Callithrix jacchus: one gene and its partners. The protein of the gene in region 3 binds, or shares a complex with, the protein of the main gene of each other region. Links are inferred from orthologs where the notes say so. Each region holds a gene or a part of one and is shown on either strand. Other genes may lie near its edges.

The links.
Region 1: the proteins of SERPINC1 (region 3) and F2 are in contact, whole or in part, in a crystal structure (PDB 1TB6), measured with the Homo sapiens proteins. The link is inferred for Callithrix jacchus from reciprocal best matches to the Homo sapiens genes SERPINC1 and F2. Residues at the interface, in NP_000479.1 of Homo sapiens: Lys258, Glu264, Asn265, Arg267, Tyr285, Glu287, Gly288, Lys289, Glu345, Met347, His351, Ala419, Val420, Val421, Ile422, Ala423, Gly424, Arg425, Ser426, Leu427, Asn428, Pro429, Asn430, Arg431, Val432, Lys435; in NP_000497.1 of Homo sapiens: Leu389, Leu390, Cys391, His406, Cys407, Tyr410, Pro412, Trp413, Asp414, Lys415, Trp455, Arg456, Glu457, Asn458, Leu459, Asn506, Thr510, Trp511, Thr512, Ala513, Asn514, Val515, Gln519, Arg541, Ile542, Asp562, Ala563, Cys564, Glu565, Gly566.
Region 2: the proteins of SERPINC1 (region 3) and F9 are in contact, whole or in part, in a crystal structure (PDB 3KCG), measured with the Homo sapiens proteins. The link is inferred for Callithrix jacchus from reciprocal best matches to the Homo sapiens genes SERPINC1 and F9. Residues at the interface, in NP_000479.1 of Homo sapiens: Glu264, Asn265, Arg267, Glu269, Met283, Met284, Tyr285, Glu287, Met347, Val349, His351, Val420, Val421, Ile422, Ala423, Gly424, Arg425, Ser426, Leu427, Asn428, Pro429, Asn430, Arg431; in NP_000124.1 of Homo sapiens: Lys247, Val248, Asp249, Ala250, Phe251, Cys252, His267, Cys268, Glu270, Glu285, Tyr312, Arg358, Phe360, Lys362, Gly363, Arg364, Ser365, Leu367, Lys387, Phe388, Asp405, Ser406, Cys407, Gln408, Gly409, Asp410, Ile429, Ser430, Trp431, Gly432.

Annotation. Positions count from the first base shown.
Region 1 is NC_133511.1:111,771,929-111,775,577, forward strand, and holds part of F2 (prothrombin), read left to right. Parts: intron 1-805; coding exon 806-911; intron 912-1,007; coding exon 1,008-1,144; intron 1,145-3,559; coding exon 3,560-3,649. UniProt on the Homo sapiens protein: Thrombin, which cleaves bonds after Arg and Lys, converts fibrinogen to fibrin and activates factors V, VII, VIII, XIII, and, in complex with thrombomodulin, protein C. Functions in blood homeostasis, inflammation and wound healing.
Region 2 is NC_133524.1:136,311,555-136,315,203, reverse strand, and holds part of F9 (coagulation factor IX), read right to left. Parts: intron 3,030-3,649; coding exon 2,901-3,029; intron 823-2,900; coding exon 620-822; intron 1-619. UniProt on the Homo sapiens protein: Factor IX is a vitamin K-dependent plasma protein that participates in the intrinsic pathway of blood coagulation by converting factor X to its active form in the presence of Ca(2+) ions, phospholipids, and factor VIIIa.
Region 3 is NC_133519.1:29,149,137-29,152,785, reverse strand, and holds part of SERPINC1 (antithrombin-III), read right to left. Parts: intron 219-3,649; coding exon 1-218. UniProt on the Homo sapiens protein: Most important serine protease inhibitor in plasma that regulates the blood coagulation cascade. AT-III inhibits thrombin, matriptase-3/TMPRSS7, as well as factors IXa, Xa and XIa. Its inhibitory activity is greatly enhanced in the presence of heparin.

The DNA of each region.
Region 1 (3,649 bases), on a different chromosome or scaffold from region 3:
GGTCAGGAGTTTGAGACCAGCCTGGGCAACATGATGAAACCCCGTCTCTATTAAAATACAAAAAATTAGCAGGGGGTGGTGACACACGCTTGTAATCCCAGCTACTTAGAAGGCTGAGGTGGGAGAATTGCTTGAACCCAGGAGGCAGAGGTTGCAGTAAGCCAAGATTGTGCCACTGAGTTCCAGCCTGAGTGACAGAGCAAGACTCCGTCTCTAAAACAACAACAAATAAATAAATACATAAACAAATAAAGTGATTGCAACAAAAGTTCTGTTCAAGGCACCGAGAGAACACAGGAAAATGAGTGTCTGGTTTGCCAGAAGAATGAGAGACAGCTTCCCAGGAGAGGCAGAGTTCTGCCTGGCCTGGGGGGATGCCCAGATGAACAAACAAGAGGGCATTCCGGGCAGAAAAAGCCCGTGGAAAGACCCAGAGGCACGAGGAGCCAAGCTAGCAGGGACAGGTAGACCGGGGCCAGATGAAAAGGACCTTGGTCACTTTTTCATCCCGCTGGCCAAGAGAAGCCACTGAATGGAAGTTCCCTGAGGGCAGGGCTGTAACTGTCCTATTTGTCGTGCTGAGCACCCAACAGTGCCTGTCACATGGTGAGCACTCAGCAAATACTTGGAGGCCACTGTTGAGTGAATGGGAGAACTGCAGGATGGAGAGGAAGAGGAGCTGGGTGAATGCAGGTTAAGGATTGTGGACCACTGTGAGCTTGGAGGCAGGGACAGACACAACTTTGCTGGGAGAGAGGAAATAAGTCCCCAGGCTCCAAGGCTGACCGGGGTGGGGTCCCCACAGGTAACTGTGCGGAGGGTCTGGGTACGAACTACCGAGGGCATGTGAACGTCACCGCATCAGGCATCGAGTGCCAGCTATGGAGGAGTCGCTACCCACATAAGCCTGAGTGAGTGATGAGCCGGCCTTCCCACCAAGGGCTGAGAACAGGGAGCAGGGACACCCCGTGGGCCATAGCCTCCTACTGGGAAATTTCCTGTTCCAGAATCAACACCACCACCCATCCCGAGACCGACCTGCAGGAGAATTTCTGCCGCAACCCTGACAGCAGCACCATGGGACCTTGGTGCTACACAACCGACCCCACCGTGCGGAGGGAGGAATGCAGCATCCCTGTCTGTGGTGAGCTGGGGGCAATGAGGCAGCCCACAGCCAAGGCCCGGGGGCTTCCTGGGGCCTGGCAGCCTGGGATGGCAACCAAGATGCCTGGCTACCTGGGTGCAGTGGCTCATGCCTGTAATCCTAACACTTTGGGAGACTGAGGTTGGCAGATCACCTGAGGTCAGGAGTTCGAGACCAGCTTGGCCAACATGACAAAACCCTATCTCTACTAAAAATACAAAACTAGCCAGGTGTGGTGGTAGGCACCTGTAATCCCAGCTACTCAGGAGGCTGAGGCAGGAGAATCACTTGAACCTGGAAGGCAGAGGTTGCAGTGAGCTGAGATCATGCCACTGCACTTAAGTCTGAGCAACAAGAATGAAACTCCTTAAAAAAAAAAAAAGATGCCAGCTACCTTCAGAGCTGGCCTCAGTCATTCATATCATATCTATGTCTATTGCACAGTGAAGTCAGGGAATCAGAGATCTGCCAGCTTCCTTCTTCCCCTCCCCACTCTTGACTTCCTGATGGTCCAGGCCGTGGCTCATTCCAAACATGCCTCCTTTCTGATCAAGGCACTCCTCCCTCCAAGAAGCCCTCCCTAGCCACTTCAGTCCACATGCTCTGTTCTGAGTATCACAGAGCAAGCCTCGTGCCCTGAGAGTTGGCGGGCGTGGTGCTGCTGATCTCAGCTGCACTCGCTGACGAATCCGTAGGGTCAATTCACGGAGGCTGGCCATGGCTGGGTGGCTCTGATTCAAACAATGGTTCCAGCTGAGCCTGGCTCCTCATTGAGGGTTGGGCCTAGATCTGCTCCACGTGTGTTCTTGCTGGGGCTGAGACAAAAAGACAGCAGGTAACTGGGAAGACTTTTCTTAGCTGATGGCAGACACAGAAAACAACAAACAGGAAAGGTCATCTGTTCTGAAGACCTAGGCTCCGAACAGGTACAGTCAGCCCCGCCCGCGTTCCACTGACCAGAAGTCTATGTTCAAGGCCAGAGTCGAGAATTGAACTACACCTCAGCCTGTGAAATCACAGCAACGGATGGGGATGCAGGCAGGGGTAAAGAATTAGTGCTGGTTACCAGTCCACAAACATGCGTTCGTGTTCTTTGTTTTCTAAGCATCCCTGTTGGGCCCATTGCTTGTTCCTGGGGTCAGTTTTTTTTTCTTTTTGAAACAGTCTCACTCTGTCATCCAGGCTGGAGTGCAATGGCACAATCTTGTCTCACTGCAACCTCCCCCTCCTGGGTACAAGCAATTCTCCTGCCTCAGCCTCCCATGTAGCTGGGACTATAGGCACACGCCACCACGCCTGGCTAATTTTTTGTATATTTAGTAGAGAGAGGGTTTCTCCATGTTGGTCAGGCTGGTCTCAAACTCCTGACCTCAGGTGATCCGCCCGTCTTGGGCTCCCAAAGCCAGGAATGAGTCACCGCCTGGCTCCTGCGATTGGATTTATAGCAAGTTCATCCTAACGAAAAAGGCTACCATTTACCCCCCAACTCCCATATGCACACACACACACACACACACACACACTGATGATAAATAAGTTTCAGGCTTGCAGAAATTGACCTACTCTCCAGGTGAACATCTTAGTGATCCCAGCAAGCTTCCTGCTGTGCCCTATAAAAACACAGACTCAGGCCGGGTGCGGTGGCTCACGCCTGTAATCCCAGCACTTTGGGAGGCCGAGGTGGATGGATCACGAGGTCAAGAGATCAAGACCATCCTGGTCAACAAGGTGAAACCCCGTCTCTACTGAAAATACAAAAATTAGCTGGGCATGGTGGCGCACGCCTGTAGTCCCAGCTACTCGGGAGGCTGAGGCAGGAGAATTGCTTGAATCCAGGAGGCAGAGGTTGTGGTGAACCGAGATCGTGCCATTGCACTCCAGTCTGGGTAACAACAGCGAAACTCCGTCTCAAAAAAAACAAAAAAACAAAAAAACACAGACTCCTCCAGCAGCTCCAGGCAGCCACTATCAGCTGACTACAGATAACCCAAGAGGCCAGTGGAATGTGAGTGGGGCTGACTGTGCCTGTTCTGGGCCTAGGCCTTCAGGACACATGACGCTTTTCTGTTCCTTGTTTTCTGTGTCTGCCATCAGCATAAGAGTTTTCCCAGTTGCCTGCGGCAGCCTTCAGACAGTCACTACCAGCTGACCACAGGTAGCCCAGGAGGCCAAACCTGGTTACTATCTCTGGTTTATTCTGTGCCAGACACTTAATGCTGTATATTTTAATTCTCTCAACAAGCCTGCTAGAGTGGCGTTGATAACGCCTTTAAAGGCAGACAAACAGAAGCCCAGAGAGGTTAAGTAACCTCAGGCCATGCAGGCAGAAAGCAGCAAGATCGGGGTTCACATCCCTGTCTGTTCCGGTCCATGTGTGGTCTCACACATACTGCCTCCTCCTTCCTCACACACCAGGTGAGGATCGAGTCACTGTAGCGATGACTCCACGCTCCAGAGGCTCCGGGGGAAATCTGTCACCTCCATCGGAGTGGTGTGTCCCCGATC
Region 2 (3,649 bases), on a different chromosome or scaffold from region 3:
TAATGTGCATCAAAATCACCTGCAGCGCTTGTTTGCACACAGATTGCTGGGCCCCACCCCCTAGATATTCTGATTTGGTAGGTCTAGGGTGGAGTATGAGAATTTGCATTTCAAAGTTCCCAGGTGATTCTGATGCTACTATACTTTGAGAACCATAGCTGTAGACAAAGACTCTCATACCCTGTTTCTTGGAACCTAATTCTTGCCTTAATCCTTACTCCTTGAGTCCCTTTCTTTGCCCCCTTTAAAATAATCCAATTTCTCTGGGCCTAAAGTCTTTCCAACTTTGCAAAAGCTGAAGCTGAAGTAGTACCCTGAACCTGAGTACCTGTAACCTTTCTTCCAGACCTTCATGTTGCTAACCAGTTGCCTGTCTGGAATTCTGCTATGCTGTTTCCTTAATGGCAAATTCTTCTTGATCTGTATAGTAGTTACTTTTGGACCTCTCTTTTACCAGCTGTTCATCTCTGGAGGCTTTCTCACATTGGTTAGTGCTGAAACTTGCCTAAATATTTCTCACATCCCAATAGGTCTGTCTAGTAAACTAGCCTCAGTCTACCACTTGGCCTGTGTCTTGCCAGCTGAGCTCCAGTTTTGGCATATCATCAGTATAAAGTACCTGCCAAGGGAATTGACCTGGATTGGCGTCTTCTCCACCAACAACTCGAGTGACGTCATCAAATGATTGGGTGCTTTGAGTGACATTATCCAAAATGGGTTCAACTTCAGTAGAATTTTCATTGTACACATCAGGAAAAACAGTCTCAGAACGGGTGAGCTTAGAAGTTTGTAAAGCAGAAACTCTTCCACATGGAAATGGCACTAGAAAAATAGAAGAAAAAAATTAGTATTCTGATATTTCTCATTGGTAAATGTAACATGCATTACACAAATTGAGATTGAGGCCCATCCTTGTTACTTCTGAGAAGCAGGCCCATCAGTATTTTTCAAAATCTAATCAGTGAATAAAGTCTCAAGCTAAAAGGTTGATTGAATTATTTTCGTGGAAAGTTTTCAAATCCTTCATGAAAAGAACATTTGGCTCCGGAATTCATCATCTTTACGGAAATAGAATAGGATTCCAGAATCAAATTTGGTAAGACTTTTATAGAGTCTAATGACTTTCTGTTTAGTTTCTTTACTAAAAAATCTTACTCCCAGTGCCATCCCTGAATGGAAGTCTGGTGATTGATGCCTTGTAACTTTAACTTTCCAATTCAGTAAATGGGACTTCTGCTTATCATTAAGAGGGTTTATTTTGCAGACTAAAATGCCTAGATTCCAAGGTGCATTTTAGGTATTTTCTGGGGAGAGAGAATTGTGATTCAATTGCCTGGCTTTTAAATATTATCCAAAGAGATTCCTGATATGATTATCACAGCCATATTCACCAGGACCTGCCCACCATTTTTCCTTGGGTTGATTTATTTTCTAAAGAAAAATAATCTGTTAATACACTGGGGACTACCAGATGGAATTTGTAGTAAAACAAAGTTACCTCACGTTTCATTTTCATTTCTCACTTTCCTTCAAGCCACATTCTTTGTAACAGATATTTCTATAGCAACCAGCTGCGACAAAGTATCATGAAGACAGCAAGTGGTTGAGAAAACAGGAAATTATTTTAAAATACTTATGTATAAATATACATGATCAACAATGGCTGGAGCAAAGGGACCATTATTGTTGAAAAGGCAGAAAAGCTTATTTTAAGTTTGGCCTACTTATTCTGCTACAGCTAAGGCTATATTCAAATGTAACACTTAATAAATTGGAGGTGGTTCTCAATTCTGTTTCTCTTTTATAGCATGGAAGAGCTGGTAAGGGTTTAGCTACTATAGCATCTGTCTATACTGGAAGTTAGGTTTTTAAGGTTAAAATACACACACAGGCACACACCCACGCCCAGATTCATGCTCCTCTCAAGGTAGACTAGCTTTGAGATGGTGTATTTGAAGAGCCAGGCAGAAGGACAACTGGGCAGGTCCTGAAGCCTTAGACACGCCTCATTTTAGTTGCAGGATATATATTCCGGGCTTCTGTTTCTTTCTTTAATTTCCTCTGCCTAGTGTTATGCTGAGATAGGTATTGGAACCAGTTATAGAGAAATGGTACATTATTTAATGTACCAATTTAATAAGATATCAGGCTTTGGAAATGCAAAAGAAATTATATCCAGTTTGCTTCAAAGAGACCCCTAATTTTCAAATACATTTGACCCTGTAGAGCCTAAATTTTTTAAAAAGTAAAAGTGTCTACTGCTTTCATTTTGAGAGAGGAGCCATACGAACATGGAGTGGAGATGTTCCGAATACACTAATCAGCTGGTAAAATGGTGGCATGGTTGATATGACTGGGAAACATTGCTTTGTCCTCTGCCATATAGATTGTACTGATCAGCCTAGCAGAACTTAAAACAGTTCATGGCTGGAATCATTCTGACACCATGTGTGTAAATTTGGCTTGAGACCCAACAATAAAAAAATAACTTTCTCACAGTAAACTAGCCAGCCCAAATAGAATCATGCTTCAAATTCACCATCCTTGTACCAGAAGCCTATCACTCAATCATTTTTGTGTATTTTATGATGTAGTCTTACTACATTGATTTGACTTGATGAATTACAAATATATGTGCAGAAATCACACAAATTAATTGCTTTGTTATATAAGTGTTAGAGAAAAAGATTGGACACAGAAAAGAATTCAGGCTGGAGATGATTACATAGTTTATATTTAAAATATGCAATTTAGAAAATTTGTCTAATTCAAGCTACTGATCTTTTATATGATTTCAAAAGGAAGCAGATTTAAGTAGGAATTAAAATTATGTAGTTTTGTTAAAATGCTGAAGGTTCAGATAAATATTTTCTTTAAAAAAGTCTTATTTGGATTATGACCTGCTGGTTCACAGGACTTCTGGTTTTCTGCAAGTTGATATCCCTCGGTACAGGAACAAACCACCTTGTGATCAGCACTAAATTTACAAAACTGCGTGCATCTGCCGTTCTTAATGCTACATGATGCATCTAAAAGAAGCAAAATAGACAGTAACAGCATCATTAAACATGCATTTCTAAAAAGTACATGGAACTATTGATTCATGTATGGGTCAAATATATGTTGGGGGCATTCATGGAGAGAAATTTTGGAGCCTTGAACTAAGAGTGAAAACAAAGGTAAAATAAGGCATAAAAATGGTGGTAGCACTATAACTGATTGGTTTAAAACGAAATGTTTGCATATTCTACTTTCACTAAATCATGGACTACAGGTTTAAAAATGCTATTTATTAATGTATAACATGTTCAGAAAAGTACACACAACTTTAGTATAAGTTTTCATGAAGTAAATGAGCCTGTGTAAACACTAAACTGACAAACACATAGCACATTATCAGTACCCCAGAAGATGCCCTCGCCTGATCATTTCACCCTTTTTCCTTTTTATAGGTTACCATTACCTGGACTTCTAACACATTAAATAGTTCTTGTCAGTTCTTGAACTACAAATAGAAGTTCACAATATGTACTCCTCTGTGTCTTTCATTTAACATTTTGTCTGTGAGATTAATCCATGTTGTTTTGTGTAGCAGTAGTTCATTTACATTGCTGTGTCATATTCCATTGCATTACGATTCCAGCTTTTA
Region 3 (3,649 bases):
ACCTTGGCCAGGCTCTTCTCAGGCTTGGGTAGGATGAGCACCATGGTGATGTCATCACCCTTGAAGGGCAACTCAAGCACCTGGGTGCCTTCAGCCACACGCCGATAACGGAACTTGCCTTCCTGGTACATCATAGACACTGAACACGACTCTTCATCAGCCTTGTAGAACAGTTCCTTCCTTGTGTTCTCAGGGCTGAACTTTGACTTCCACAGGCCCTGGAAGAGAACACCAGGTGAGAGAATCACAAAGTGACAACAAGAACATCTATAGGAGGATATTTACTGATACAAGGCATTCATATTATAGTATGACATTAATAGATAAGTACAATTATTAGGAAAAAAGACTGGAGGGATATGCACAAAAAGGTTAATAATGACTATGTCAGAACGATGGACTATGAATAGGTTTTTCTCTGTGTACTTTTCTGTATTTCCCCAGATTTTCAGCCGTATTTGCTTCTATAATCAGAAAGATAAAAAACAAAACCAAGAACAATGTACAAGCCTCTCTGCAAATCTCTTCTTGAGTTTAAGTCTAATTGCCTTGTGCTGTCTGCCTTTCACCAACCTCTTTTCTTTTTCTTTTCTCTTTTTTTTTTTTTTTTGAGACCAAGTTTTGCTCTTGTTGCCCAGGCCGGAGTGCAATGGCACGATCTCAGCTCACTGCAACCTCCACCCACCGGGTTCAAGCAATTCTCCTGCCTCAGCTCCCAAGTTGCTTGGATTGCAGGCACCCGCCACCATGCCCGGCTAATTTTTGTATTTGTAGAGACGGGGTTTCACCATGTGGGCCAGGCTTGTCTCAAACTCCTAACTTCAGTTGATCCACCTGCCTTAGCTTCGCAAAGGGCTGGGATTACAGGCCTGAGTCCCCAGACCTCTTTTCTAAGGGTCAACCTCAAAAGTCCTAGGCTCTGCCAGACACAGACATAGATAACAAGCAGAGGATGCGTCCTGACTGACTTCTTCAAACTGGGAGGGACCCTGAGATAGAAGAGACACTTTCGAAAATTGTGATTCTTGGCCAGGCGCGGTGGCTCACACCTGTAATCCCAGCACTTTGGGAGGCCAAGGCGGGTGGATCACAAGGTCAAGAGATCGAGACCATCCTGGTCAACATGGTGAAACCCAGTCTCTACTAAAAATACAAAAATTAGCTGGGCATGGTGGCGTGTGCCTGTAATCCCAGCTACTCGTGAGGCTGAGGCATAAATTGCTTAAACCCCGGAGGCGGAGGTTGCAGTGAGCCGAGATCACGCCATTGCACTCCAGCCTGGGTAACAAGAGCGAAACTCCGTCTCAAAAAACGAAAATTGTGATTCTTGGTTTAGCACCAAGGATCAAAAAAAATAAAAAATAAAATTGCGATTCTTATCACTTTCTAGCTCTTTGATTTGGAAACAGGCCATTTAACTCTTCTTTTTTGGTGGCGGACAAGGTCTCACTCTGTGTCCCGTGTTGGAGTGATGCAGTGGCAAGCTCATGGCTCATTGCAGCCTCAACCTCCCAGGCTCAAGCTATCATCCCACCTCAGCTTCCCAGGCGGCTAAGACTACAGGAGTGTACTACCATGTCTGGCTAACTTTCATTTTTTGTAAATACAGGATCTCCCTGTGCTGCACAGGCTGGTCTTGAACTTCTGTGCTTGAGTGATCCTCCTGCCTCAGCCTCCCAAAGTTCTGGGATCACAAGTGTGATCACCCTGCCTGGCCCATTTAAATCTTCTGAGTGGTGGTTTCTCATCTGTAAACTAGGAGCTGGTGATAGCTGATGCTTATAGAATGCTTACTGTGTGCCAGGCACTGTTCTAAGCATTTTGCATGCATTAACTTTCACCTTGTTTACTTGCAGTAACTACCTCAGTACCCCTATATGGTAGATGTATCATTATTATCATATAATAGATGCAGAAATTGGAGCATAGAAAGGTCTCAGGTAGGCCGGGCACGGTGGCTCACGCCTGTAATCCCAGCACTTTGGAAGGCCGAGGCGGGTGGATTACAAGGTCAGGCGTTCAAGACCAGCCTGACCAACATGGTGAAACCCTGTCTCTACTAAAAATACAAAAATTAGCCAGATATGGTGGCGTGCGCCTGTAATCCCAGCTACCTGGGAGGCTGAGGCAGGAGAATTGCTTGAACCTGGAAGGCAGAGGTTGCAGAGAGTGAGATTATGCCACTGCACTCCAGCCTGGACAACAGAGTGAGACTCTGTCTCAAAAAAAGAAAAAGAAAGGGGCCGGGCGCGGTGGCTCACGCCTGTAATCCCAGCACTTTGGGAGGCCGAGGAGGGTGGATCACGAGGTCAAGAGATCAAGACCATCCTGGTCAACATGGTGAAACCCTGTCTCTACTAAAAATACAAAAAATTAGCTGGGCATGGTGGCACGTGCCTGTAATCCCAGCTACTCAGGAGGCTGAGGCAGGAGAATTGCCTGAACCCAGGAGGCGGAGGTTCTGGTGAGCCGATATCGCGCCATTGCACTCCAGCCTGGGTAACAAAAGCGAAACTCCGTCTCGAAAAAAAAAAAGAAAGGGAAAAAAAGGTGAAGAATATAAAAATAGCTGGGCGAGGTGGCTCATGCCTGTAATCCCAGCACTTTGGGAGGCCGAGGTGCGCAGATCATGCGGTCAGGAGTTTGAGACCAGTCTGGACAACATAGTGAAACTCCATCTTTACTAAAAATACAAAAAATTAGATGGGTGTGGTGGTATGCGCCTATAATCTCAGCTACTCCGGAGGCTGAGGCAGGAGAATCAACCTCCCCGTGAACGCGGGAAGCAGAGGTTGCAGCGAGCTGAGATCACACCATTGCACTCCAGCCTGGGTGACAGTGCAAGACTCCATCTCAAAAATAATAAAAAAAGGAATATAAAAATAAATTTTCAAAAATAAGATTTGGGCAAAGGGAAATTTGAGTCATTGTAGAAGCTGCTTCAGATGATGGGGAAAAATCGCAGCACTGAAGACTGTTAACACATTGACTCTGTCATTTTCTTCCAGATTTCAAAATGGAGTTAACTAGACAGCAGAATCACATATATATGAGATTTTGTCACTGTGCACACCTTGCAATGGGATGTGATGGGTTTGTTTGTGTGCCCACTCTGCCATCAGCCTAGGGACACTACCACACCTCCCTGTACAGTAGCCCAGCAGCCATAGTTCAAAAGATTCTGGGCTCTCAGCAAATGCATTTGTCTTCCCAGATCATGCATGGACCATTTCTCAGAAAGGATCTACACATGCCCAGTAGTGTGAAAGAGGGTAAGCTGGCCACGCGTGATGGTTCATGCCTGTAATCCCAGCACTTTGGGAGGCCAAGGCAAGAGGACTGCTTGAGCCCACGAGTTCAAGACCAGCCTGGGCAACATACAAAAAATTTAAAAATCAGCCTGGTATAGTGGCGTGCACCTGTAGTCCCAGCTACTTGGAAGGCTGAGGCGGGAGGACTATTGGAGCCTGGGAGCTCAAGGCTGCAGTGAGCTGTGACTGTGCCACTGCACTCCAGCCTGGGTGACAGAGTGGGATTCTGTATTAAAAAATAAAAATGAAAATAAATGGAGGCAAGGAGGAAATAAGGGTAGGGACAAGGAGGCAGAGGCAGGACTTTTGGAGAAGTTGGTTCAGCTCTGCCTTCTACT